4 linked regions of the Oreochromis niloticus genome follow. The protein of the gene in region 1 interacts with the protein of each later gene in a pairwise test. Links are inferred from orthologs where the notes say so. Each region holds a gene or a part of one and is shown in the gene's direction. Other genes may lie near its edges. The genes, in order: protein boule-like, tfg, RNA binding protein fox-1 homolog 2 and serf2b.

Region 1 (7,089 bases):
GGCTTTAAAACCTTTGTAGCTTGATTTAATCTTTATGCTGAGCTAAGCTAACAGAGTCCTGGACTCCTACAGTAGCTTCATATTTCCTCCACTATAGCCTATGTTTAGGGTCCTTTGCATAGTCTGAGGTTTTATTGGCAGGAATTTTGAAACTTGAAAAAGAGTAGGATAACCTTAAACAAACGTTAGATCAAGGTTTTGAATCAAATAGAACTGGGTCCACAAAAGTAGAGATTAGCTTCTTCAGTTCTAAGGGTCAGTGGTGGAGAGTCTCCCACTAGGTTTAAATCTGGGACTCTCCACCACTGACCCTTAGAACTGAAGAAGCTTCTCGGATGAGAGATGAAACGTCTTCAAGCAACTCAAGAAGTCCAGACGCTTTTCTTTCCAAGCTCCTTAGTTCACATTGGATACATTTAGGGAATTTAGACATACTGAAGACCAAAACTCCATACAATATACTATAAACAATGACACCCCCCCCCCCCCAAAAAAAATCTCTTCTACTCAGTGGTATAAACTTACCCCAAATTAGGGGGTCATCTGGCCCAGTGGTCCAAAGTTGAAAGGAGCATTACCCATTCATTTACCCACACAGCCTTTTCTAAACACTGGTCTAAATAAATTGGATATGAAGCCTGGATGCTAAGCAGGCATCATATGATCTTTGTTTCATTCTGGCAAACAAAATTTGACAAAAAACACAGTCGATAGCAAAGCTCCTCTGATAACCTAAACACACTGGCACGCAAGGACACACACACACACATATTCACACATGTCTCAGTGGATCATATTTGCCAGCAAATCCATATGATTGTAACATAAACACAGTGATGCACAAAGAGGGAGGTCTGGGCCTTGTAGGCACCTGAGTGTTTGCAGACATGAAGGTGCGCGTTTGTGTGTTTTCTTTCGCCCAATCCCCTCGTGTGTTAGAAACCCCCTGCTCTGCTACAAAGTGATTTCATCCCGCTCCGTTCAAGCTGCTTTTGTCGAGCCATCGCATCTTACTCACCACCTCCCCACCCCGAGCACATTTAGAAGAACAGATGAATAAATGGACGAGGGGGGAAAAAAACAGTAGACTGAAACCACAGTGGAACTCAGCGATGGTCAGCCAGGCCCACCACGCCTCAGCAAATGTTTGTCCAAACCTGTTATTTCTGGCATTGTACTGTCTCAAAGAGATCATTTTATTCTCTGAGAGGAATGCAGCAGCTATAAATAGTCTGGAGATGAAGGAGGGGAAATCAGAGATTTGTAGAGTAATTACAGAGTCAGAGTTGAACCCTTCTGTTACGGCTCATTTTTCATCAACCTCTGTCTCCACGACTGTCTGAGTGACTGACCGACTGAGGTAAAAACGGGCCCTTTTTTCAATGGGAATGTGAGTCTGACCTGATATTTGACCTCCATTTTATTTCTTCCATGCCTGTTATTTACTCTCTACCTCTTGTTTGTCACAAAACCAAGACTGGATAGATTTGAATCTCTGTGAGGCACAACTGATTTTATTTTGGAACACTTACCTCAGTATTTTTACTCTGAAATAAACAAACAGAAAATCTGCTTTTTGTCATTTTCATATCAATACTTTTGATGAGAAATAAGCTACCTCCAAACCTTATATTTCAGATTAAAACCAGCCCTCTTCCTCTGCATTTGGCAAAGCCTGCACCCCTCCAGCGCGAGGCTCATTTTGGGCCAAATTACTCACTCCGATGTAAGACAGATGACACAACGAATGACTTTAACCTAAATATTGCATTTGAATGTGAAGTCAGCAGTTTGTGTCTGATTCAGACTCATCTGAGGTCATTTTTGTTTGATTTAAGTCAATTGAAGGTTGAAATGATCGCAAAACATATATACATTACATAGACATACACATGGCATGGAAATAACTCATGTTCAGTCCAGCAGTGCAATATAACATCCCAATCTAACTGATTATATATATATATTTGTCATGTACATATATATATGTATTTATGGGTGTATGTATGAGTAGATATATATATATATATATATATATATATATGTATATTATTCAAGTCCTTTTTTGGAACCATGTGATGGAGAATTGTCCTAATTTGTCTGTCTGATGACAATAAAAAGTCTTGAATCTTGAAACGCAGTGATAGAAAGACTTCTGACACACAACATTCCCTAGCAATGACGGGGTGGGGGGAAAAATGATGTATAACATGGAAAATTAATATTAAGAGGAAATGAAAGTAGTCAATACAAAGCGACAAACTAAAACAGTCACAGAATAAAACCTTCACTCTCCTTTGTTTCCAGAGAAAACTCAAACAGCCAGGCGAGTTGCCCTGACAGCACTTGTGTCTTAAATGATCTTTGTGGAGTATAAAAGGACTTTTAGCTCGTAAATTGCTGTAATTATCAAACATGCCCTTCTCATTTTGCACAGTCAGACCTCGTTGGCAAATTCACCCCGGCAATTAAGGAAAGCTGGAAATGAATGACAAGTAATGGTGTGGCCCACATTACTCAGATGAGGGCAAGCAATCCAGAGACAGAAGGGTGTAATGGTGGGAAATGTGCAACACAGACTGAGAAGAATTACACACTGAGTGGATTATAAACTGTGTTTGCACATTTATTCATAATAATATGGATGTGTTTGAGTGAAAATCCTGTTCCTGCTTGTGTGTTTTTCATTCACTATTAGTATTACTAGGTATGGAATTGGTTGCCACCACCCCCACCCTCCAGCTCTTGAAGACTTTGTTCAGTGTTCAGTGTCACTTTGTTGTGGTCCTAGGGAGGAGCACAAAAAGGTGGTGGTGGTGGTGGGGGGGCACGAGATGCAAATGATGGCGTTTCAGAACACTTTGCAGCCAATCATAGACAAATTATGGCTCCGTGAGGATTTTGCTCAACATCTGAAGTGGCTCCTGAAGGATCAGGAGAGGAAAGAAATGTGGAAATGTGGAAAAGTCACTCTATTCTACTTTTTCCTGCAGCTCTTAACGGCGAGGGACATAATATTAAAACACATTAAAACAAAACAAAGAATTGACTTTTAAATGGAAATATAAGTTGTGTGTGTTTAATCAGCATTAAGGGATTCAGTCAGTGATGAGATATTTGTGAACTTAAAGCGCCTTGAGGCGACTGTTGTTGTGATTTGGCGCTATATAAATAAAACTGAATTGAATTGAATTGAACTTTGTAGACAGATTTCTTTGACAATATTTCACATTTAACAAAAATTTCATTTCTATAATTCAAACAGAAAGAAAAGAGAAGGACATGCTTGAATCCGATACGTCCTGGGTCTCTGTGACTACCTGTGCCTTTGTTAGCAACAGAGAAATGGCGCCTCTATGTGGCCACTTTTTAGTACTGTACTTTTTAATACAACAAATGTGGACTGAAGTAGGACAGAAAAATTGTTCCATGCCCATAATTTTTTTTTTTTTAATCAGGAAAGGACTCAGCAGTTAAGCACATTTTAGGTTCAAAATTAGCACATTTCCCCACCCAAAACCCAACAGGACATTGTGGCTATTCTTGCTCTATTAAAGGGAAGAAAGAAGCCAGGGAAGGATTTCTTTTATTATTATAAAATGATATTGTCTGGAATTATTAAGACGTGAAAAAAAATTAAAACGTGTATTAACATCTCGTTTTTATTAAATCATATGACTTAGGGAAAAATATACATAAATACCCAATTTAACTTTGAGAAAACATGTTATTATTGTACTTAAAATAAGAGCATACATTAGAGGTGGGCGTATCATTCCAAATATCGCAGTGCGGATATTGGTACTAGATTTGACTGATAGTAGCGCAACAGGATGTGGGTTTCTAAGTTCAGTATGTAGCCCACTGAATGCTGTTAATGCTTTTTTTCTGAAAATACACGAAAAGTTGATACCTTGAAATTTTGAGATAATATCCCAAAATGTTGACTTAAGACAAAAAAAATAAATAAAAAAAATCTGTGGTGGAAACACGCTTCCATACAGAGTTTAATGGGAGATTAAAAAAAACAACTTTTAGAGTAATTAATAAAAATGTTACGTCACCTTTACCTTTCCTTTGCTTTCCTAGATACACAAACCAACCGATGAGGTCATAGTTCGTGTGAGTGGTGAAGGCTAACCTAACGGTCGGAGGTGAGCAATGAAGCCGTGTAACAACCATTAGCCAAATCGTGAATAGGCCACCGTTAATCAGAGCAGTAACGTGCATTTATCTTTTTAGCTTCAGAATAATATGGCTAAGGAAGCGGCGAGCCAAAAGGTGAGTGCATTGCCAAGTTTGCCCTTGCCGCTTTGAGCGCAATTATTTTAGCTAACAGCTAACGGAGCTAAGGTAAGTAAGTAATGCTGGGTTATGTTATGTGATATAAACTTTATCAGAGTTAGTTTTCGATACTTTTGAGCTACTTTATGTCCAATAAATTGTTGGTTATAATCTTAGTTTACGTGAAAAATACATTAAGAAAAATGCTAATTAACTTGGAATTAACTTGTGCAATATATATGCTAGCTAAATAGGTTAATTCAAAGTAGCTAAGACGTTAAATACACTTTAATGGGACACGCTGTTCTACTTTACGCGAATTAAACTATTTTTACCTGAGAAATATTAATGCTCGTTGAAGATAATTTTGGAAAGTTTGTGTTGTTTGAGTAACTTTTTTTCTTTTCAATTTTCACACAATCCTTTAAACTATAGGGAAACACTCATTAAGTTAATTGCTAATCATTTTTCGCTCTGTTGTATCTTCCTGACAATTTTCCCCCATATTTTCTGGACATTTGAAGTGAATCTTTAAAGGAATTGAATTTTTACCCAGCCCACAGGCTGACTGCACACTTCTCATCTTTTCTTTTACTTTTCTTTTTTTTTTGCTTTTTCCCTGTTGTAGGCATAAACGTTTGTGGTTGTAGTTTCTTATGTATTCAGGTTGAAGGTACATCTACTTTGGTTTAAGAACCTGCTGTTTAATTATTTATTTTGTTAGTTTTGATTAAGTGTTAAGTTTCAGAGCAGAATGTCCTCATGAACATGGCTACATTCATTTTACGAGTCATGTTGTGTAAATAGAAGTGGGATTTATAATCTCTGACCACTTTAAGTAAAGCTAGGTACCTACTCCTTAAGACACACATGTAATCAGCCAATCACAGAGCAAGTAAGTGACTCAAAGTCACATGACCAAGTAATCCTGCTGCTGCACCTCTTGGTCTCAGTATGTCAGGAACTGCTAATCTTCTGGGATTTTCCCACAAAACCATGTTTAGGATTTAGAGAGAATGGTCTGGAAAATATAAATTTTCTGTGAGGGGAAATCTCTGAGTGAAAATGCCTTTTTGAGGTGAGGGGTCATAGGAGAATGAGCAGACTGCTTTGAGCCGAGAGAAGGCAACAGCAACTCAAATAACCACTCGTTACAAGCAAAGTATACAGAAGAGCAACTCTGAAGGAGCACCACTTTCAGCCTTAAAGCAGATGAGGTTCAGAAGCAGAAGACCACACGCGGTGACACTCTTGTCTGCTGAGAGCAGGAAGCTGAGGTTGCAGTGTGCAGGGGCTCAGGAAAACTGGGAAACCTTTGCTGGGCTGAGGACTGTCCCAATGTCTGCTGCAGCAGACGGTAGAGTCAGAATTTTGGTGTAAACAATGTGAAAGCACGGATCTAGCCTGCTGTGTATCAACATGATCATCAGGGATATTTTCTCTTGACACTTCAGGTCCCTTAGGACCAGGTGAGCATTGTTTAAACACCACAGCCTGCCTGACCCAATACTATAATGATCTCCACACTCACCAGATCTCAATCTAAAAGAGCATCTTTGGGATGTTGTGGAATGAGAGAATCACGTCATGGATGTGTGTGATGCTGTCATGTCAATATGGAACATAGTCTCTGAGGAGTGTTTCCAGGACTTTGTTGGATCTGTGCCATGAATGCAAAAAGGGCCCAACCCAGTATTGGCAAGGTGTACCTAATAAACTGTCCAGTAAGTGTAGTACTTAAGTTTTAGTACCCTTAATCTTGACTACTTTCTGGGAAAGAAATTAAAAAATCAGGCCAACCTCATTACGTGTAGAGTTTCTTACTGGCCCAGAGTAAGACCAGTACACGCTGTCTTTGGGCCTGAGTGAACAGAGATATGTATTTTCCACTTTACATTTGCACAATAATGTACTCATAAATACAGAAATTTTGGTAGGACAAATAAAATAATTGCTCTTGGCTTGAAAGCTGGACATGAAACATTCCAACAACTTGTTCACACAAAATTATATTTGGTGTTTGTTTCCCAGAGCGGGGGCAGTTCCTCCCCAAGTGATGTGCTACTTCCAGATGATTATGCTGACAGCCTGACAGACCACAGCACAACCTTTGGCAACGTGATCCCCAACAGGATTTTTGTCGGGGCACTTGACTACAGGGTGAGGGCTGCCGAAATAATGTAGAACAAATGATTCAGACCATGATTTAAAATCTCTTTTGCAATGATGAACCAAACGAATGTGTTTCAAGGTTAATGAGCGTGACCTGCGACACATTTTTTCTCAACACGGCACAGTGAAAGAGGTGAAGATTGTCTTAGATCATTCAGGAGTGTCGAGGGGGTGAGTTCATTGTCTTTTTCCTCTCATACACAGAGTCCGACTGAATGATAAAGTATGCACAGCTGATTTTCTCAGCTTTGAATTTAAGCGTTATAAGCGTTATTTACACATTTACTGTCACAGTAAAACACGCTCTGTCTTTTGTCTTTCAACAGATATGGGTTTGTTACATTTGAAACTCAAGAAGATGCTCTGAAAATCCTCAACAATGTAAGTAGTTTAGTGTCTTGCATTGGAATATTTCATGCATATAATAATGCAAGCAATCTGACTGGAATATGTTGTCTATATGTTATGTTGTTGTCTGTACGTCTGTTTATGTGCTTTTACAGACTAATGGAGTCACGTTCAAAGACAAGAAGCTCAGTGTTGGTCCGGCTTTTCGAAAGCATCAACCTTCAAGTCAAAGTAGGTTGACGGTCCAGTAGTGCAGGTGTTTGAACATGTAGATTAATTGTTATC
Region 2 (7,499 bases), on another chromosome or scaffold:
TTAAAATTTGTATTTTTTTTGGAAGAGATCAGAGGGAGTTTGAAGAGAAGAATGAGTAAAAAAAAAATCACACTGCCATTCACTTAACACCTCCATGAGATCTGGTTTTATAGGCTTAACATATCTGACCCACTTGACCCTCATGGTTTAATAAACATATATCAGGATGCCTTAAGTGTATTCATCAAGAACTGTTGCCTGAAAATCAATATCGATATTAAGTATGCTTTGTAGCACTGAATTTCGATCTAATAGTGTGATTTAAAAACAATAAAACAAACAGACAAACAAAAACACAGAGGCAGGGTACACTCTAGACAGGTTTCCAGTCTGTAAATATTTGTTTACATTTATATTAAACAATTTATATTTAGATAATCAATCATTATATGCTTAAAATGAATTAAATGAACCTATACTAATCAAGTACATTTCATTTGACCAATTTCCATTTAATTTGACGTTTTCAATTGTACTTATGTAACAAAATTACCTAAAAACTTTACATGTAATCAAATTTCTTAAAGTCAGCATCTTTTTCGTTTTTGCAGAAAAACATTAAAAATTGGCATTTTAGCCCTGTAGAGTGTGACAACCATGCTTAATCAACTTAATTAACTTAATCAATACTACCAAATAAACAGTATACGATAACAGAACTATTGATTGTGATGTGAAAAGAAGATGCTGATGCTGCCGAGGGATGTCGGTCGTCAGTGCGCATGCTTAAAGCTGTCGTTGATGTTCACTCAGCACATCTCCTTTGGATTGAAATTTAAACAAGGAGCTCGGCCAAACGTTGAAAAAGTCAGGTGTAAACATCATTGGTAAGCCAAGTTCACTCTGCTACTATCGTTACTGGCGATAACAAAGAAATAAATAAAAATGCTAGACTAACGTACAAAACGTATCTGTCCAAAGTAAACGCTAAACTAGGTTAGCCAGTAGCAGCTAATGCTTCAAATCCCAGCACGACTAGTCTGCGCGAAAACGGCCGTTTTCTGTTTAAATCGCTGTTTGCATCATGTTGTGACAGCTGGGAAACGGTGACGTTTAATATTACTATGGCTGAATCTGTATCCTCTATTATCTCTCTCCTCACGGTGTCCTTGCATTTACCAGGCTGATTCTTCGCACACTGGGACATTAGCAGGTTAAATCTGTCATATTGCTTGGTTGACCAGTTAGTTCCAGCTTTCGAATGTAAGAAACTGTCCTTTTGCAGCTTTAAATATTAAATGTCTTTTAATACCCTGATTGTCTTCTGGATTTTAAATATTCCAATGAAATTTGATGAAATCACAATTTTTTTTAGCAGTGTATGCTCTTTGGTTGCAGTCATTTGCATGTTACATTATTTGTCTTGTGCATTAACAGGTTTCTCCAAACATGAAAAACAAACTAAGGATGGCCCCACAGTACCAGATGAAGCAAGTATCTATGTTTGGCATTTGTCAATAAATATGAACATTGTCTCTGAGTTGCAGTCTGATGGTCTGTTTTTCTGTTTTGCAGCGCTTCTCTGAAGTCAGAGATACGGAAGTTAAATGTGGTCCACTTTCTCATCTGGCTGCTGGTGGCCGCGCAAGTGACCGTCAGCCACTTCAACATTGTGTCACAGGACACTGTGTCCATGCCGTACCAGTGGGAGTACCCCTACTTGCTCAGCATCTTCCCTCTGCTCTTCAGCAGCCTGTCCCTCCCAAAGAACAACATCAGCTACCTGGTCCTGTCAATGATCAGTGCAGGGCTCTTCTCTTTTGCACCTCTTATATATGGTGGCATGGAGATGTTTCCTGTAGCAAAGCAGCTCTTCCGTCAAGGAAAAGCCTTCCGCTTCATTTTTGGCTGCTCTGCAGTGACTGCTGCGTACATCGTTATAGTGGTTGCTGCTCAAGTGCATGGCTGGCAGTTGTACTACATGAAAAAACTGCTGGATTCATGGTTTGATGCTACTCAAGAGAAGAAGAACAAATAATGGAGGTTTTTTTTTTTAATCTGTGAATGGACAAAACTCTTGTTTTTCATTTTCTTTTCTTTTATACGTGAGTTCTGTCTCCTTAGTCTTCATGATTATGTAATATGATTCATCCTGCATCCCTGATTTTAATTTAAAGCTAATGATTGTTCATTTCAATAAACTTATTTATTTAAAGCAGCAGATTGATTTCTTGCACACACAGTTAGGTTGGGATTGGGATCCAAAGCACCAGCGATAAAAATGGAGTCCAGTCACTGTGAATTCAGCCCTTCTCCAATCAAAGAAAAAAGAATAATGTTGGTGTCTCTCTCAAAAAGTCTTCCTATGATTTAAAGAAAATGTGAAGTTCATACTTACAGTATTGAAGCAATTATTCATACACACACACACTTACAAACTGTTAAACTATATGCTTTGCCATGTGTTTATTTGTTCAGTATGTTAAGTCTACCTCTTATGATATTTGTTTGGTTTTTGTAATGGGCGCATTCACAGTATCTGCATGCACTGCTGTTTTTAAGATATTCTCTTGCAGCACGAGAACACCAGCTTCGCTTTACTGCAGACTCTGTGCGTGCTTAGCTATCCAGTGTTCAAAAGATAAATAAATAAACGCTATTCAACATGATGGCTGAAATTCTGTGAACGCTCTCAACGCACTTTGTTCCAGTCGGTCTGCGGCTGCGCACACTGAATGCCACGTACTGGTTGACGTTGACAGTCTGGAGGACACTTCCTGATGCTGCTGCCCGGGTCTAGCTAGGCTAGCTAATAGATTAGATTTTCACGGTTTGGGGAAACCCGTGAAATACATCGTGGTCAAGTCGTCTGGTTCAGGTATAAACATTACTTCGAGTTATGTTATAATTTAACTACAAAGCAGTTTCTATGCTATTACGTACTGTTGTGGTGCTAGCTAGCTACGCAGGGAGCTAACGCTACGCTAGCTCGTCCAAACAGGTGTCGAGAGTGATACAGAGGGAGTTGTTTAACAAAAGATTCGTCAATTAACTGATCTGATCGAGTCTATGTAAGGTGAAGTAGGGAAATGATCAGTTTATACCTTCTTACGTAGCTCTATTATAGGTAGAGCTGTTATAAGTTACACAGGAAACAGCTTGTTGACGACTCATTGTCATAAAGTAAAAGCTAAGTGTTATTATTCCAGATTTTTCAGATATACATCAGGAAATTAAACAGATTATTCATTTTTTTAAGTGTATGTAACGTATACAGTAAACACTGCAATGGCAGTGGTGAAACGGCCTAACAAGCGTTAGCAGTCAGTTCTGTTTGTTGATGGGCCACTGATAAATGACTGCGACTTTTGCTATTATATAAAAGTTTTACTTTCGCTTCTGTGATATTTTAAGATTTGTTTCCAGAGCTCTAGAAATTAACTTGTTAGACTCCGTTTCGGTTTAATTTTTTTTCCCAGTCGTAATCATTGAATGTTACTGTACGCTAAACGTTAGCTACCACCCAATCCCTAGCATCCAGCCAATTACTCATCTGGCCCGGACAGAAAGAGTATATTGCTGAGCTTACAACATCAGGAGGTAACGTCAGAGTTAATCCAACTCGTGACTGTACACGAACGATGAGGTTTACGTTAACTTAACACAGTATGTTAACCCCACCTTGTTTGATGAGTGCAGGCCTGTTATTACATACCCCCCTCCCCCCAAAGAAATATCCGTTTTACCGGTATGATCTGAGTAAAATGGGTTTTAATTTGCGATTACTTTGTAATCATTTATATGATTCGCCAAATGGCTTTGAAAGCGTTTTTCTCCTATCAGAAGAGATGATATTTTAGGTCAAAGTCTACAAGGAGGTCTGTTATTCTATAGCCTGTGCCACCTCACATGAAGATGTTTGACCCTTAGACTCTGGAGTGACATGGTTTCGTTGCTGTGTTTGATTAAATAATTTAAGTCAAGGGAGGAGCGCTCCTGTTCTGTGTGTAATCCCATACAGGCTTCAGTCAACATTATGAGAGCTTTGTGACAGTGAAGACAAGCTGTTAATTTCGGCATATTAATGTAATCATAGGACTGTTCTCACAGCAGCTGACCTGTTGACCTACTTATTCTGACCTAGCATTTTCCACTGTTTTAAAAGGGGCTTAATTTAATAATTATATATTCTGTTCTGTAAGATAGACATACATGTCGCTTTGAATGCCATGCACACTTATTGCTGTTCTTTTAACTGTCATTTTGCTGACTAGTGGTGCCCTGGCACTGCAGTATGCATACCTCCTAAGTAGTAATAATAATTATTTTATCTGAATTAGCCTTTGATAATCACTAAAAACTGTAGAAGAAATCGTAATTGCAAATCAAACTTGAGTAATTATACAACCCTACTTGGTACTAAGGAGCTGGAAGGTTAAAGAGTGGCCAGTGTTCAGTGTGACTGTGTGTCACCCCCTGTTGGGTAATGCCTAGAAGAGTTCAGGGCTGCACTGAAATTGTGAACACCTCTCTTCTACCTTTGTCAAGTGCTGGGAGCAGAAGAGGTCAGACGGCACCATGAACGGCCAGCTGGACCTGAGCGGGAAGCTGATCATCAAAGCCCAGTTGGGTGACGACATCCGACGCATTCCCATCCATAATGAAGACATTACCTATGATGAGCTGGTGCTCATGATGCAGCGTGTCTTCAGGGGAAAGCTGCAGAGTAACGACGAGGTCACTATCAAATACAAGGATGAAGGTGAGTCAGGACACAGAAAAGGCCTGTGAGGGTCCGGTTGTCCTCTGGTGACAAGTGTACTTCATGATGGTAATCTCAGCATATTTTCTTTGAAAGTGGCAATTTGCTGTACAGTTAATCATCTTTTGTCCCCATTTCCTGTTTACAGATGATGACCTCATTACCATTTTTGACAGCTCTGACCTCTCATTTGCCATCCAGTGTAGTAGAATACTCAAACTGACTTTGTTTGGTAAGAAATTAACACATTTCCTCTTACGGACTGTATGCATGTTTTTGCCTTGATGAATTCAAGGCTGTAGATCAGGGGTCCCCAATCTCAGTCCACGAGGGCCGGTGTCCCTGCAGGTTTTAGATCTCACCCTGGGTCAACACACCTGAATCACATGATTAGCTCATTACCAGGCCTCTGGAGAACTTCAAGACATGTTGAGAAGGTAATTTATCCATTTAAATCAGCTGTGATGGATCAAGGACACATCTAAAACCTGCAGGGACACCGGCCCTCGTGGACTGAGATTGGGGACCCCTGCTGTAGATGTTTAGTCTCTTATTTCAGCTGTTACAGCAGCCAGTCACTGGAGGGCAGTCTAGCTTAATTTTCCACAGAGCAAACATCGTTACTGTCCAAATGAAAATGATCTACACTCCCTTCTGACTAATTTGTTTTGGATTCGCTGTTTCTTAGCACCAATTTAACAAACAAACACTATGACAGGTAGTAGATGTGTGTATTTTGTACCAGTTATTCTGGACATTCAGGACAGAAAATAGCTTGGAGCAGGTTCGAACCAGAGCCTCTGCAAAGACCTTAGAGCTTATGGGTCGCCACCTCAACCTCTTGGGCTAAACCATTGCACCGCCCAGATAATTCCACAGTCATTCAATAGCTCAGCAGGTGTAACTCGCTGAATAATCAGTTACCTGACCAGCCAATATGCCTCACCCTAACATGTTATTCGAGCCTTGTTGCTGTCGGTAGTAAAAACATCGTGATGAAATTTCTGGGATTTCATAGGACTTAGTATGTTAGTTTTCCTAAAGTATGATTAAGATAAATGAAATGGTAAAAAAGTGGACTTTGATCAAAGAGGTGTACTCAACATTGAGATTAATGGGCTTAGGCAAGTTTGTTTTGTTTGTGACTGGGCTACATCCATCCATCCTTTTTTCAGTGCGGGGTTACAAGTAGGTAACAGGCAGGGTTCACCCTGGACATGTTGCCAGCCTATCACAGGGCCCTTGGCTATTTCGCTATAATATATCACTATAGTGAATATGCTGAACACATAACCTTAAGCAGGTTATGTTCAGAGTTCTAAATTTCAAATCAGCTGTAAGGATCATAATTTTCCTAAGTATTTTTTTCCCAAGAATCAAGCTCAGAGTATGATTTGGCTGTTATTCCTCTCTGAAGCAGAAGGATTGGAGTTTTAGGGTTAAGAAAGCCTGGCTGTGTCAACCATGCTTTTGCTGTACACGTTTTAGCCTCATTGTTTACAGGTTTGTGGTTAATAGGAGGCTTAACATTTAAATTATACATTTTATTTGTAATATTTAATATTTTACAATCATAATAGTCGATCTATATTCTCCTATTGCCACTTGCTTTGGATAGTGACTGAAAGAATGAGACTGAAGATAGAAGTGTTCAAAATGGGTTCCCTCCCTTAGTGGTGGGGTGAGGAGCTGTCTCTTTTTAGGATGCCTCTAAGTGAGGTGTTTCCAGCATGCCCAACTGGTAGAAGATCCTAGGACATGCTGAAGAGATGATGGCCCTTGCTTTGCTTGAGAACACCTCAGTGCCTCCTTGGAGAACTGGATAGAGAGGTCTTAGACCGTTAACCCGGATTAGTAGTAGAAAACCGATGAATGCATGGAAAAAATGTTTTTAAAGCCATAATGAAACACTACATATAAAAATGCATTATTTTTAAATAGGCCATCAGTTAATTATTCTTATGTCTAAGGAAAAAGGTACACTTTTGCTTACACTGAAGTGTATTGATAATCCTTGCTGACTGAAATATATATGATCAGATATACCACATTTTCAGATTTATTTTTCTTTCAGTCACAGCAAAGCTGTATATTAATGCTAGGTGGTAAGAGAAGAAATATTCTGAGCCTGTGAAATTTTAAGTTGATTCTTTCACTAATCAAACTTTCTGGGAGGCCATTTTTACAGTACAGGTGTTTTGTTATTCTGTTAACACAACAGCTGAGACTGTGTCCAGTGTTTGGCTTGTGTTTTAGAGGATTGTCTTTCCTGGCTGTAACTAAATAGTGTTGGAGTTCTGTCAGTTTAGAAACAGATAGCATACCAATACCATTTTTGGGCTCTGGAGATTGGACTGTAACAACCAGCAAATATTTGAAGCTTGGAGCACCTGATTGTGCTTCAGTGTCTAACTGCCTGCTCGCTAACTGAATTGTAGACAGGAAGGCATGTCTCATCTCAGTGGACTGTATAGCAGTACTGTCTATGTTTTTGCGATAAGTACTTTTTTTGTGAAAAAGTTGCTCAAGGGCAATGAAAAGTCAGTAAGTTTTCAGTAGTGCTGTGAACTGAAGTGTTTTAAAAATCCAATGAAAATATTGGAATAGTTATGATTGGGTACCACCTTAAGCATGCTTTAAGTCACAGTCCAACTTTAGGCTGTTTAGTAGGTAGAACATTACCTACAGCTACGAAGAAGTGTGACTCGTAACCATAGCAAACCAGCATCAAATCTGTCATTAAAAAACACATTCTCTACTGTCTAAACTGTATTAACAACATGATGTTGTTTCCTGT
Region 3 (7,210 bases), on another chromosome or scaffold:
AACAATGGTCTACAGCCAATCTTGTGTATTATTATACAAACTTTGGTTGTAAGATTCAGATAACTATTTAATAAAAGCTAAATATTTTATACAGGGAGTGCAGAATTATTAGGCAAATGAGTATTTTGTCCACATCATCCCCTTCATGCATGTTGTCTTACTCCAAGCTGTATAGGCTCGAAAGCCTACTACCAATTAAGCATATTAGGTGATGTGCATCTCTGTAATGAGAAGGGGTATGGTCTAATGACATCAACACCCTATATCAGGTGTGCATAATTATTAGGCAACTTCCTTTCCTTTGGCAAAATGGGTCAAAAGAAGGACTTGACAGGCTCAGAAAAGTCAAAAATAGTGAGATATCTTGCAGAGGCATGCAGCAGTCTTAAAATTGCAAAGCTTCTGAAGCGTGATCATCGAACAATCAAGCGTTTCATTCAAAATAGTCAACAGGGTCGCAAGAAGCGTGTGGAAAAACCAAGGGGCAAAATAACTGCCCATGAACTGAGAAAAGTCAAGCGTGCAGCTGCCAAGATGCCACTTGCCACCAGTTTGGCCATATTTCAGAGCTGCAACATCACTGGAGTGCCCAAAAGCACAAGGTGTGCAATACTCAGAGACATGGCCAAGGTAAGAAAGGCTGAAAGACGACCACCACTGAACAAGACACACAAGCTGAAACGTCAAGACTGGGCCAAGAAATATCTCAAGACTGATTTTTCTAAGGTTTTATGGACTGATGAAATGAGAGTGAGTCTTGATGGGCCAGATGGATGGGCCCGTGGCTGGATTGGTAAAGGGCAGAGAGCTCCAGTCCCACTCAGACGCCAGCAAGGTGGAGGTGGAGTACTGGTTTGGGCTGGTATCATCAAAGGTGAGCTTGTGGGGCCTTTTCGGGTTGAGGATGGCGTCAAGCTCAACTCCCAGTCCTACTGCCAGTTTCTGGAAGACACCTTCTTCAAGCAGTGGTACAGGAAGAAGTCTGCATCCTTCAAGAAAAACATGATTTTCATGCAGGACAATGCTCCATCACACGTGTCCAAGTACTCCACAGCGTGGCTGGCAAGAAAGGGTTTAAAAGAAGAAAAACTAATGACATGGCCTCCTTGTTCACCTGATCTGAACCCCATTGAGAACCTGTGGTCCATCATCAAATGTGAGATTTACAAGGAGGGAAAACAGTACACCTCTCTGAACAGTGTCTGGGAGGCTGTGGTTGCTGCTGCACGCAATGTTGATGGTGAACAGATCAAAACACTGACAGAATCCATGGATGGCAGGCTTTTGAGTGTCCTTGCAAAGAAAGGTGGCTATATTGGTCGCTGATTTGTTTTGGTTTTGTTTTTGAATGTCAGAAATGTATATTTGTGAATGTGGAGATGTTATATTGGTTTCACTGGTAAAAATAAATAATTGAAATGGGTATATATTTGTTTTTTGTTAAGTTGCCTAATAATTATGCACAGTAATAGTCACCTGCACACACAGATATCCCCCTAAAATAGCTAAAACTAAACACAAACTAAAAACTACTTCCGAAAACATTCAGCTTTGATATTAATGTGTTTTTTGGGTTAATTGAGAACATGGTTGTTGTTCAATAATAAAATTATTCCTCAAAAATACAACTTGCCTAATAATTCTGCACTCCCTGTATGAGAGTAAGAAAGAAAAGTATATCTTTGTGTCCACCTTTCTCTGTTAATGCCCTACCTGGCCCCCTGGCAAAAGCTTTGCTAGATCCGCCCCTGCACATTTACCAGCTGTCAGCTAAATAAAAAAAGGAGCTTGGTGTTTATTTCTCTCAGAAACAGTTCATAACTTCCCTTCAACTCATTCATGTCACCTAAAAAAAAGGTAAACCTGTTTCTCCATCACCAGTTCAGCTCTGATGATTCAGTAAGGTCATCTCCTGGTTTCGACCAGCCGCTTCTACAGCTGTGGCTCCAGCAAACATCAGCTGATACTAGAAATTAAAATCAAATGAATTCTAACAACAGCTGATCAAGCTTAAACGTGCTGCTGTTGTTTAGCGCGATAAACAAACAAGAGAGAAAAGCCGATCATTGATCAGTTTCATGACTGAAGTTTGAACAGGCGAGAGAATGACAGGGGAGGCTGTCATAAAGTTCAACATCAGTAACTTAGTGCGCACACAGCTGTATAGAAACTCCATCGTGCTAGCTACCACGCAGTACGAGTTATTATAACTGATTGTAAAAAGTCAGCACAACGAAAATAAACTACACCTAAACTCGGTTTATATCTGACCCAAATAGAGTGCAGGTCATAACTTCTTACCTGAAATTCAGTTCACCTCACGCTCCGACCGGCAGCCGCCTGCTTCTCCTGCCTTCGGTTTCCCTGATCCACGATCTACCACCGGTCGATCGGCGGTCGCCTCGCCGCCTCGTTCCCCGCATGTTCTTTCTGACACACACCGGTGGATAGCTGCCCTCGGTTGTAGCTCCGCGTCAGCGACTACCAAACAATTCAGTTATTTTTTCCACATCGACCAGCATCTGGACAATCCACCGCCTTTCACTGTTTGTACCGTTACTAAAAAAAAACCCTCATCGGCTCATAAAAACGAAAAATAAGTCCAGCTATGACCCTGAGTCAAAAAGACAGCCAGCTCGGGTTAGCTAGCTACCTGTCTAGCTCTTTGCAGGCACCGAAAACATCAGAGCTAATATGGGATGTCTTGGTAACACGAGCAGATATTTGAAGTTTACATCTGGCCAATCCACCACCTTTCACTGTTTATACCGTTACTAAAATGAATAAATAAATAAATCATCGGTCCATATAAACGAAAAATAAGTCCAGCTAAAACACATACTGTCGGCGAGCGACCGGGTGCTGACACGAGTTTCACCCGCCTCAATATAAGCCAAGCCTGGGTGCTTTTTCATGAAGGGTCGCTAGCGGTGCTAGCTAACTATGCTAGCGGCGCTAGCTAGCTAGCCGGCTATCAGCAACACATAAGAGAACTGCTGCTAAATAAACTACACCTAAACTCGGTTTATATCTGACCCAAATAGAGTGCAGGTCATAACTTCTTACCTGAAATTCAGTTCACCTCACGCTCCTGCCTTCGCTTTCCCTGATCCACGATTGACCTCCGCATTAGCAAACACCGGTCGATCGGCGGTCGCGGCATGTCCTTTCTGTCATACACCGGTGGATAGCTGCCCACTGTTGTAGCTCCGCATTATAGCACCACCAAACAACTCAGTTATTTTTTCCACATCCAGCTGTAACTCCGATTCTGTGCGAGCATTTGCGAGAGACCGGGGAGGTGAAACGACAGAGAGAGTCCCCTCGCTATCCATTTGCAGCCAAGTGCGGCAGCTAGCTAGGTAGCCGGCTAGCTGTCAGGCAGGACCGACGTCGTCAGAGCACTGTCGCTAAATATGGGATGTCTTGATAAAACAAGCAGATATTTGAAGTTTACACACCTACATTCTCGCCTGAAAATATCTTAAAAGTTTATTTTGTGACCTAGAAACATGAATAAAAGACATATAAAACGAAGTGGTGGCCGCCATTGTTCACTCTGTAGAGGCGTGCTATGAATTGTGGGATATGGAGTTTTCAACACAAGGATAAATCTTTTCGGCTGTACTACTCCCGGTATACCACTAGAGAGAGCCAAGACACCACAAATGAAGTCTGTTTATTTGGCGCCAAAAGATGAATTGGCCTAAATTTGTACTAAAATATTAATATTTAAAAAACTATAAAAGTCATAAACACCAAAAGTCACAACATAATAGTCCAGCTCCAGCCGCACAAAATGATCTAAGATATGTAATCCTAATGTCAAAACTGTTTGGCAGAGGAGCGCGGGAAAATTTTCACTAAAATATTAATATTTAAAAAACTATAAAATTCATAAACACCAAAAGTCATAGCACACCATTCCAGATCCGGCCACACAAAATGAGGTAACATATATGAAGCTTGTCTCAAAACTGCGGGGCGTGATACGTGCCGAAATTTAGGCGGAAGATGGAGAATAATAATAATAAGAATAATAAATCCGACGAATAGTAATATGTGTGCCTCTTGGCATAGGCACACATAATAATAAATCCGACGAATAGTAATATGTGTGCCTCTTGTCATAGGCACACATAATAACTGAGGGCAGAGGAGGAGGGAGCTGTGAGGTGGTGGGATCAGGAGGGAAAAAAGGAGGAGAAGGAGACCGAGGAAAGGCAGACCTCAGACCAGCCCGCCTTACCTCACTCCCCCCTGTCCGCGAGCCCGGTGTTCACGGGCAAATCTGACCGCAGATCAGCGCACTCGCGCTCCCTCCACACTACGAGTTACACCAACTGGGACTGAGACCAGAGGAAATCGTGTTCGTCGGTAGCCAAGGTACGCACGCCAAGACTCATCCACAGCAGACCGAGGCGAGGGAACGGACAAGAAGGGAGAGAATTCAAGGGGAAAGCTGGTAGGAACCACAGAGGAGTTCACTGCAAAAGAAAAAACCCCACACGTTTAGGGGCGAGAGGAGAGGGTGACTGGCTGGCCCCGCAGAAGGAGTAGTATTACTCGAAGCTAATTTCCAACATTTTCTATTCTTGGCAGCGAGAGTGTGCTCTCCGAGCCACATTTATAAAGAGAGCTAGCGGAATGTAATGCTAGCAGGCTAGCCGATGTTAGCTAGCTAATTAGCTTGTCAGGCATCCGAGAGTCGGACGTGTGATCTTTATTAAAATAGGACACTGTCGTCGTTTTTCTTTTTTCAGGGGGGAAAAAGAGAGGGACAACTGTACTTAATGTCCTTTTTGCTTGATTCTGCCATGGTTTTAAAGGTTTGTCTCGCATAGCTAAGGCTAAGTTAGACAATAAACAGTGTAAGCTTGTGTATATTGATGAAAATCCGTTCAATATTATCCGTCTGGGAAAAGCCAAATCCATTGTGAATATCGAGCCGTTGACAAACCCAAAGGAGAAGGCAAAGGTAACAAAAGAAAAGAAAAAGCCAAAGAGACTTTTGACTGGTGACTGTCTCCCGTCCAATGTTAATGTCGACCGACGTTGCATCTATTATGCTACCCGTTAGTCGGGGAATAATGGACCGGGAAAGGGACATTGATACAGCAGCCGGACCCCATGCAAACGCGGCCGGGGGTCCAGCCGTGGTCCGAGGGATGAAGAGAGGCGATCCGGAGCCCGACGCTCAGACTGCCGCTGCCCTCACTGACTTGTCCGGGGCGGAGTGCAAAAGACCAAGGATAGACGGGACCGGGAGTGTTGTTGGTGACATTGGCCAGGTATGAATGCAGTGTAAACACAAAGGATATGTTTCTCACATCTGTGTCGTTTTGTTTCCATCTGTTACAAATGCTGCTCACTGAACTCAGTATCATCCGCCCTCCTTTTCCTTCTTCGCTGTTTTTTCTGTTTGTTTCTAAGCATCAGCTAGGAAGGATGATGATGTTTTTGACAGCCCCCCCCCCCACGCATTTCCCCCTCTAGATAATCATGCATGGGTGCAACAGCAAATCCTTTAATTAAAACAAGCCAAACGCAGGAAAAGTGTCTCAGTAGTAAACGCGTTGCTTGCTGTGATTATCGAGGCTTGCTGTTTGTTCCTCTTGGTGCTGCTCTGACCAAACCAGACAAAGGTAATATGATCCAGGCTCCATTGCTATGACAGTCCCAGACACCACGGCAAAGATCAGAGCCATTCATCATGCCTGCCTCACAGAAGGTAAACCAATGCTTTGTCACATGTTGCGAGGGATTTTGTATTTTTATACTTATGTGGATGAAATTACTTTGAAATGTGCGGATAATTTGTCAGTGAGTCCTGACACACACATGGAGGGCATTTAATGGCTCCGTGTCCCCCCCCCCAGATTGTCGCTAGGTGTTAAAAGAGAGAGGCAGACAAGGATTGGGGGAGGGGTCACCACAGAGAAAGACAAAGAACAGAGCCTTTTTTTGAGCTTGAAGGAGCGAAGGGTCTCTGGGGGGCCTCCTTAACACGGGTCTTCCCTTGCTTTTATGACTCAAATGCTGAGACAGCAAAGCATCAGCGACCGTTCCTGCCTCCCCGGACCAACCTGTGTACGTTACAGTAAACTAAAGAACTGCCGAGGCGAAGGGTGCACCTCTCACTTGTTCTGCCTGGATCTCTTGCTATTTATTTCTCTCTTGCAAACACACAGCACGCATCATTCCTACACCTACACACACATGCTTTGAAGTGCCCCCGTAATGCAATAGTACAAGAGAAAAATTTCAGCTGATGTCTGTTTTTTTTTTTTTTTTTTTTTTTTTTAAAGACCAGGAAAACTGCTCTAACGGTAGTCGAAGGGCAGGCGGAAACGACTTGAGGTCGTCTGCAGGTAATTGAATCCCGGGGAAACTGGTAAAATGCTTCAATGGGCTGTGCAGCTGACCCACTGCAAAGACAGAAAGGTCCAAGTGTGATGCTGTGATGCTCAGTGAGCCTCACAGAGGATGGATGTTGATGATGGCAAAAGGTTATAGCCCGCTGGCAAAGATGATGTGACAATGAGCAGGGCGGCATGTTGTGGATTCTCGCTGCCCATCGGTTGTATTGATTGTTGGGGTCGGGGTGGGGTCGTGTAAATGGAATAAAAGGGAGGATGAGGCTACAGCAAGAGAAAGAGAGTGCACCGAAGGTTGCACGTGGAGGATAAAGAGAGGAAAGCAAGGATCGTGGTTTAATTGGGCATAGTGTGCGAGTGGATTAGAGGAGAGGGAAAGAGGTGTGACTGGGGACTGATAGATGGATAGATGTGGGGATTTTGGGGTGGGGGTGTGGAGGTGGGATAAAGGAGACGGAGGGCAGAGTGAAAATCTGAGCCGTTAGTTTGCATCCATCAGGCGGCATGATAAAGTATGCGAGGGAAGTGATGGATGGCAGGCATGACACCATCAGTTGTGGAAGAGATAAGCATGAGGACAGGGCCTGAATGATGATAATCAGCCCAGTGACACTTTATGCAAAGGATAAATAAATCGGAAAATGACATTGAGGGGATGTATCGAGTAGCTCTCGGGCGCTGCATGGCTGCTCGCGATGGAGATGATGACTCCAGTGGATGTCCCTTGAACTAAATGCACCCAGCAATTACTGTAGGGCTCCCGCAGTGAGCTCGAGCTGGTATACTTCTGACCTTCCAGGCTGACTGTAAATCAGGACTGTAATAATAAATGA
Region 4 (7,677 bases), on another chromosome or scaffold:
CTGTCACCTGTTGGTCTAAAAAAACCCATCTGTTGTACAACCATTTAATATTGTTTCTTAAAGCTTAAATCCAAGAGCCAGTATTGCTTTTCAATTAGATTATCGCTCATCACATAGTCAAATCTGCACAAAAATTTGTTATATGCACAGATTGAACTTCTGAATTAAAAGAGATTTCTGCCACAGCAAATTTCTATGTAATGACAGGACAAGGACTCTTACTGCTAATGTTAAATTTTCTGGTTAAATATAGTATGAAATTAATGGAAAACAGGCTTCCCCTCCCCCTATCATCTCCCTTTGATTAAATTGGAGACACGGCATGAGGAGCACCAGTTTCACAAGGACGGCATTAACAATTAGAGGCTTTGTAAAGCAGAAGCAGTCAACACTGTCAAAATTACCAGGTGGTGATAATTGCACTCAGAGACAGAAATAGTTTGCTTTAAGCTCGATGCTGTCACTGCAAGCAGCTGTGGGGAAAACAAGTCATAGGCAGACATCCTGGGCTGCCCTGCGTCGCCAGAAGCCCAATAAACTGACCACAGTGTTTGACATGCTGTCCTACAGGCTGTTAAAGTCTTCACACTCCAGCACGCAAGTGGCATGATGAAGCCATGGCTGTTTACCCACTAGATCCTCTGCTTGCACTCGCTAAAAAACTATCTCCTAAAATTAAATGACCCCATCTAGGGCTTTGTCGAGTCATATATGAATGATTTTGGTAAAAGATGATTGCATTTCTGGTGCATAAACAAGAAAGTTAAGACTATTCAAACCCCTTCATGAAGGGACTGAAGCCGAATAGCATGATAATGTAAGTACGATTCCAAGGAGAAATAGATGCCTGGTAAAGGTCTCTTTACTCTCTTTGAATATGTTAATTAAACGAATTCAAATATATGAGCATGAACATTCCTAAATATAGCATGTGGATCACACTTATTACTTCAAGACACATGGGTAGCTTTTGAAATAAAAAACTGGCTTTTTTAATGGTTCCATTTTTACTTTACCGACTTTAACAACCAAATTTAAATTACAATAAATGGAAGCAACAAGTGGCAGTGATGTTATTAAATTTGTGCTAAGAATCAGATGAAGCCTAACAAATCTGATGCTGGAGAAATGAAGCAGATCAAATGATAAATCTATTCAAGTTCTGTTCTGTTCATGATCTGCAGTGAATGAATCATTATGATTTTGGAAAGAACTAAATAAACTGCACCATTATTGCATGTTTGGACAATACTTGGTTTAAGATAAAATACTTGCACTACAAGTGATATTCACACCAGCCTCAGCTGTATTTTCTTTAATATCACAGAACATTAACACGTAAAAGGAAATAACTAAAGCTACCAGCATAAGATGAAGAAACAACTGTTACGGCTTTATAATGTGCTGTGCTGAAGAGCTGTAATACCACTATGTACCACAAGATGAGGCAGTGATTGAAAGTTACTTTTAGCTAGTTAAGTAATTAAGAGTGTGTAATTGAGTCGCTTCAAAAAAAACAAACGCATGAGAATTTTAAAATCTGCACACACCAGAAAGAAGCTCAAAAATTAACTGTTAGCAAAATTGCAGTAGCTTTCAACGCAAGCATGGTAATTCTCTCTTTTAGCGTTGGCTTGGTCAACATGGCTAAAGTTTCTTTCTTAGAGACAATAAAGTTTTATTACAACATTTATTCACACTGGGCTTTCTTCTTCAAACTGAAATAACTTTCAGTTATTTGGAAAAAGAAATTACATCCAAAAATGTTCCATTAAAGCAACTACTCCCTAATATGTTTCTTTAAATAGTTGTTTTTTTTTTATGTAACTCCATCTGAGAATCCTTGTGCTGCCAACACTCAGCTGCTGGCTGACTTTGAGCTTGGAGTTATTTGCCAGGTTAAGCTCAAATAAAATATGCTGCAGCAACAGCCTACAGTAAAAATCAATACAAAAACAAGCATTCTCTTTGCTGCTAAAGGTGCATAAATTGCACTCCAGCCAGTGATGTATGACTACCTGTCACAAGGACATTTCCAAGGGACTGTTCATTATTTTTGTGGTAAACATATAATTTTGACCTGTAGGATTTAATGAGAAAAAAAGGGTATTTGATCACTTAGAGTAAGTTTTTAGCCCGGCGTGAGGAAATAACATGCAGAGAGAACTGCAGACCAGAACAAACTTACAGAATATAATTACAGTCTAAGAAGACCTTATTCTTCACCCAAATAGACTGTTGGCTAGACAATTGCAGCAGCAGTTTGATAGTTCATTGTATTCAAACAGTAATTATGTCCCTAAAATACAGTATTTGCCTTTGAGAAAGAAACCCAACCCTGTCTTCATTTTCCTCCTCCAACTCATTTCCACCACTATAAACACAATTTGGGATTTCTATTTTAAAAAAATGCACACACACTATAGCTGACACTAGACTCAGTTTCAGTGTGTTCTTCAGTTTGTTTCATATTTTTATATCAACATAAAATAAGAAGTAAATATATAAGGGTATTAGGCAATGCAAATTATGTCTTTGTCTATTCATAGCGGTGGTGTCTGTGTACAAGTTCAGTTTTGGGCAGACATGACTCAGTCATTTAGTGTATTTAGCAACCAGACAGTGAATAAAGTCAGAATATAAACACTGCTAAGAAACATCACATGGTTTCCCAAATGGTTTTCCACTTAAACAAGCCCACGTTTTGCTATTCGCCTTAACAGAAAAATGTCACATTTTAGATGATTTCAGGGAAGTTACTGTAGCTTTTTGTTTCAAGAGTTTTACCTGATCTTATTAAATGTTTTTGTATTATTATTTGATTGAAGCATTTTAGATATGGAATAATTAGCTTTGATATTTTTATAGTTTAAATGCTTTCTATAAAGTATGTAAATCGCCGAATGTCTTGTTTGTGTGACCTCTTTCCAAATTTACCTTAGTATAGTCTGCCACCTACTGGCATCTTTGCAGTCAGCTTTTAAGGAGTCACTCACCATCTCAGAAAACTGTAACCGATCTCTCATTCTACTAAATCAATATTTGTAAGCATCCTTTGCCAGATTTGGACTGCACCTTGTGATGTTTCATTACACAATACCATTAAGGAGCATCTCACTAGTTTCACATTCAGTGGGTAGGCTTGCATTTTGAAAGGAAAGTTTATAGTTTTACTTTGCCAAATTAAAAGAGTCACATAACAGGAAATAAAAATGAGTACGAGGTAGTAAAATTATTCAACATGCGGTCACCTGGAATCAAATCACATCTGATGCTAGAGAAATGAACCACAACAAATGTTAAACCTACCTCCTGTATGTATTAGATGGCTTCTTCAAGCTTGAAAATTATGGTGCCAGTCATATTCTTAAAACAAATACTACTGTAGGCAAATCCAGGGTGCGAAGAGTTGAAATGCAAGTTTTATAATATGTCTTCTGCCTCCTGCTGTTGATCAAAAGACCAATTAGGCCAATTAGGAATCATTAGGAGTCACTAGGATCATTATTTCATTGTGTGAACAGTCAAAAGCACCCGATATTAACAAATGTTTTGGCCAAAAAGAAAAAAAGGAAATCTAGCTTAAGACAGTCATACATGTTTGGACAAAAGCATTAAGCCAAATCTTTCCATATACCTCTGAATATTGGTGTTTTTGGTCACAGCCATGCAGTCTTCCTTTACAAATATTTGAGAAATTAAAGATGTAAAGTGTATAGAATGACACCATTGCACCAAGTTAGGTCATGAATTTTCAACTCTCTCAGATAATCCACAATCAGCTCTAAGTGATATTACTGTAAAGTGGAAGGGCTGATTCAAGACCCTTGATCTGGCAGAATGGTCATTCAATATTTGTAAGCACCCTGTGCTAAATCTGGAGTGGTGTGCAAGAATCTTTGTAATGTTTAGGTTCTTATTCATCATGTAATACCACCAGAGCGGCAGCTGACTGACTAAACCATTGATACAAGGCAGACCCATGCTTTCATATTGTTTATGCTAAATTCTGATTACTGTCATCTCTTGGCATCCTGGGACCTTCTCTATATTTCTCCAGCAGCTCAAAGCAAACATCACACCTGGAGTTTCATTCCTTCTTGGAATGAAGCTGTACTGCACACAAATTCTTAACTCTCCTCTTAACTTAGCTGTAACAGCTCTTTCCCATAACCTAATGGTTTGACTGATTAACTTTATCCCTCTGTATATTATTATTTTTTCTGGCTTGTATACTGAACTTCCTATTTTCCTAATAAAATATCAATAACTGAGGGGTGTCTCAAGACTTTTGCTGTGCTGTATTTACTGCATATACTTTGTACTGTATATATTCCTTTAACAGTTTTTCCACCATTTAAATTTTAACACACCGATGTTGCAGTCCTTTGCTGCCTCTTTCCCAAACCTTTTTGAAACACGTTGGCAGCGTCATATTCACAAAGAAATAAAAAAGCGTCATAATTTGAACATTTTATATACGGTTCATTGATGGTCTTTGTATTTTCTTTTTAACATATATTATATGCAAAGTCATTGCAAAATGCTAAAACGTAAAAAAATAATAATCATTTAAAAAAGTCACCCCTTTGCAACTTCACCGTCGTGGCATGTTGACGACCAGCCTTGACGCATGCGCAGTCCCGTGTGGCTCGACGGAATGTTCTGGTTATCTTGCGGAAGTCTCGCGCATATTTGGCTCGCGACCAAACTGAAAAACAGCAACGGGAGCGTCGAGAAGGGAGTCAGCGGCCCTTTGGCTGAGCTCGTCTGGATTTTTGGGGAAAGAAGAGTCGATCACTAAAATGACTAGTGGGTACCGACATTTATTACGCTCTGAGGGATTCATGTATTTGGTCGGATGCTTGTTTTCCGTGTTTGTTATTTTTGACCAATGGTTGTCGTTGATCGACTTGGGTTCCGTCTATTTAATGTAATATACATTATCCTATTTGACAGATTCAATAGAGGATTGTCGTTTTGGGCAATAACTTAAGGACGCGATTAATTTGGCCGTTTTAGTTGGTTTATTTAAGGGCATAGACTTATGCTAACATGTGTTACATAACGTCCCGTTGTACTTGTGTTGGCTGTGGGTCGCTTGTTGTCCGGGCGTTACTCTGAGCCCTGGCCTGTATGTGTGGACGCAATACAGAAACAAAATATGGGTGTTTTGGTCTAAACGCAGCTTCCGTGTTTTTACTAGTAATATTTTTTTTTTTCAATCCTGCACATGAACTTGGAAAAACCGTGGTAGCGGCGGATTCTTTTGCTGCCCTCTGTGCTGTTGTTCTGGCTAAGAAAGTGCTCCGGAGCGCCTCTCTGCCACGTCGGCTGCTTTTGAGCGCTGCACCATCTTCATTTTTCATCGTGCAGATCATAGCATGCTCTTTTTCTGTTAACTATTCGACTTGTAGACACACAGATTTCCTTTTTAATAATAATAATAAAAATTCAGCTTGTGTTTTATTTATTTTTTGCTGGAAGCAACTTATGTCAAGTGTCTCATTATAAGGCGCAGCTTTTTCGTCTGATTTGTTGTTGTTGTTTTTTTTTACCCTTTTTATTGACATGACAGGAGGAAACCAGCGTGAGCTTGCACGCCAGAAAAATGCTAAAAAGCATACTGAACAGACTAAAGGCAAGAGAAATGAGGATGGGCTATCTGCAGCTGCCCGGAAACAGAGGTAAGCCTGCAGTCTGCAAGAGATTAAAGAAGTGTAGGATGCACACTAACTAAACAAACCAAAGCATAGTTTTCTAAACAGCACAAGGTGACGGAAGTGGTGCACATGTTAAAGGTAAAATGTACTAACAATTAGGAGAATTCATTAGTTTGTTTTTTAAGTATTTCATTTTATAGTTGTATTATAATTGTCCAATTAAAATGGGTACATTATTATATATTTACATAAATACGAAAATATAAATGTATATATTACATATTTTATACATCATTATAATATATATTGCAGCCTTCATTAATTCCACACCTAATTATATACTTATTATTAGGGCTGTTCGATATAACGATATATATCGGATGACGATATAAAAACGTCTATCGTTTCATTTTACGCTATCGTTTGTTTCGTGGTGTCGCAAAATAAACTGTTTACGGCAATATTTTTTCATTATTTTGATGGTCACTGTAGTGGCTATATTAATTTCCTAAAGTTCTCTCTTTCTCTTATATTTAATATAACCACACTACAGACGGACAAGCGCTTGTTTTTATGCGTTGTCGTTAGCAACAACGATGGTAAAACCACCTGGTGTCCGCTTGTTTATTTTCCACATAAACCTTTCACAATAAAGCTCAAGACCCTTTTGAGACTTTTCAAAATAAACTGAATCACGTGAAAGATGCAGAGTATTTACGGATGAGAAGCAAAAAAAGAGCCGTCAGGTGCTAAAAAATAAACCTTAGACTCAAACGATAGAACAGGCTTTTCCCTGCAGCACGCTGTGTAATAAATACTCACAAAGAAAACGGTGGCCGTTACAATCTATGTCTAAAAATGTATCGTTTCATGCATCAGTTAAAACACTCGACTCCAGGTACGCAACGCCCAGCTGGAAACACTTCACACAAGTCGAGCTGCCCGACATTCACAGAATTTACAGAATATGTTACATTTTTGTGATTTATATCGTTATCGGATGATAGATGTCTTAATATCGGGATGTGAGATTTTGGTCATATCGCACAGCCCTACTTATTATTGTACTATCATTATACTGTTCTTTATTACTTACTATATGTTTCCATTATATACCTATTTTTATGTTTTATTCAATTGATTATAAAGGCTATAATTCTATTAAGTTTTTTAATAATTCTTAGTTTAAAAAAAATAAGGGAAAACCCCCAAACAATATTGCAATATTCCTAAAATTGTCAATATAAGTGAAACATCTCATTATGAAACAAGGCTTATTATACAGTTTACTGAGCAAGTCTTTTCAGCACTATATCCACATTATGACCAGTTAACTGCTCATTGATAAGGCTTTTATTGCATAGGGGCGTTTGCTTCTTTTTTAGGTAATTAAAAAAAAAAAAAATCGTACAGCTTGTTGATGTGATTCTAGTACACCATATTCAGGGGTCTCTGGCTCTTTCCCCGGAACTTTTGTACATGTAAGCACCGGTTCTTGTATAGTAAAGGCAATGGATCAGTGTTGTCTTACCTAACAGAAGTTATTTATCCTATATTTCTGAACCTTTATTAATAATAATAAAAAACAAAGACACAAAACCATCTTATGCTTGAGTAAATTAAACCCCACCAAAAAATCCCCAAAACAAACAAACAACAACAACAACAAAAAATGTGTGTTGCAGTACTTTAGGCAAGGAATTTGTCTTTCAAACAGTTAGACATATATTACACATAATGTGATTGTTTTTGTGTGTGTGTGTGTGTGTGTGTGTGTGTGTGTGTGTGTGTGTGTGTGTGTGTGTGTGTGTGTGTGTGTGTGTGTGTGTGTGCGCGCGCGCGCGCACGCGCACGTGCACATTTCAGTCTCCTAATAAAGCTTGTCCTCTCTTGAAATGTCTCCCTTTTCTCCTCCAGGGATGCAGAGATAATGCAACAGAAGCAAAAAAAGGCAAATGAAGCAGGGAAAGGAAAGACCAAGTGAAGAATGAAGTCTTGAGACGAATTCAGCTCG

Evidence for each region.
Region 2: the proteins of protein boule-like (region 1) and tfg interact in binary tests that used the Homo sapiens proteins (3 or more experiments, as listed by UniProt). The two-hybrid records come from large-scale screens. The link is inferred for Oreochromis niloticus from reciprocal best matches to the Homo sapiens genes BOLL and TFG.
Region 3: the proteins of protein boule-like (region 1) and RNA binding protein fox-1 homolog 2 interact in binary tests that used the Homo sapiens proteins (3 or more experiments, as listed by UniProt). The two-hybrid records come from large-scale screens. The link is inferred for Oreochromis niloticus from reciprocal best matches to the Homo sapiens genes BOLL and RBFOX2.
Region 4: the proteins of protein boule-like (region 1) and serf2b interact in a two-hybrid assay, tested with the Homo sapiens proteins (2 studies listed by BioGRID and IntAct). The two-hybrid records come from large-scale screens. The link is inferred for Oreochromis niloticus from reciprocal best matches to the Homo sapiens genes BOLL and SERF2.

What each region holds. Positions count from the first base shown.
Region 1 is NC_031986.2:13,037,044-13,044,132, reverse strand, and holds the start of protein boule-like, read left to right. Parts: upstream 1-4,071; 5' UTR 4,072-4,154; intron 4,155-4,242; 5' UTR 4,243-4,254; coding exon 4,255-4,281; intron 4,282-6,315; coding exon 6,316-6,444; intron 6,445-6,535; coding exon 6,536-6,627; intron 6,628-6,782; coding exon 6,783-6,837; intron 6,838-6,959; coding exon 6,960-7,035; intron 7,036-7,089. UniProt on the Homo sapiens protein: Probable RNA-binding protein, which may be required during spermatogenesis. May act by binding to the 3'-UTR of mRNAs and regulating their translation.
Region 2 is NC_031987.2:22,289,060-22,296,558, forward strand, and holds the start of tfg (protein TFG), read left to right. Parts: upstream 1-4,488; 5' UTR 4,489-4,518; coding exon 4,519-4,702; intron 4,703-4,850; coding exon 4,851-4,934; intron 4,935-7,499. Other genes in the region: jagn1a (protein jagunal homolog 1-A), read left to right, coding at 1,390-1,430, 1,516-1,978. UniProt on the Homo sapiens protein: Plays a role in the normal dynamic function of the endoplasmic reticulum (ER) and its associated microtubules. Required for secretory cargo traffic from the endoplasmic reticulum to the Golgi apparatus.
Region 3 is NC_031969.2:9,183,265-9,190,474, reverse strand, and holds the start of RNA binding protein fox-1 homolog 2, read left to right. Parts: upstream 1-4,190; 5' UTR 4,191-5,036; coding exon 5,037-5,291; intron 5,292-7,210. UniProt on the Homo sapiens protein: RNA-binding protein that regulates alternative splicing events by binding to 5'-UGCAUGU-3' elements. Prevents binding of U2AF2 to the 3'-splice site.
Region 4 is NC_031965.2:28,316,876-28,324,552, reverse strand, and holds the start of serf2b (small EDRK-rich factor 2), read left to right. Parts: upstream 1-4,663; 5' UTR 4,664-4,805; coding exon 4,806-4,812; intron 4,813-5,571; coding exon of another isoform or gene 5,572-5,578; coding exon 5,579-5,687; intron 5,688-7,580; coding exon 7,581-7,647; 3' UTR 7,648-7,677. UniProt on the Homo sapiens protein: Positive regulator of amyloid protein aggregation and proteotoxicity. Induces conformational changes in amyloid proteins, such as HTT, driving them into compact formations preceding the formation of aggregates.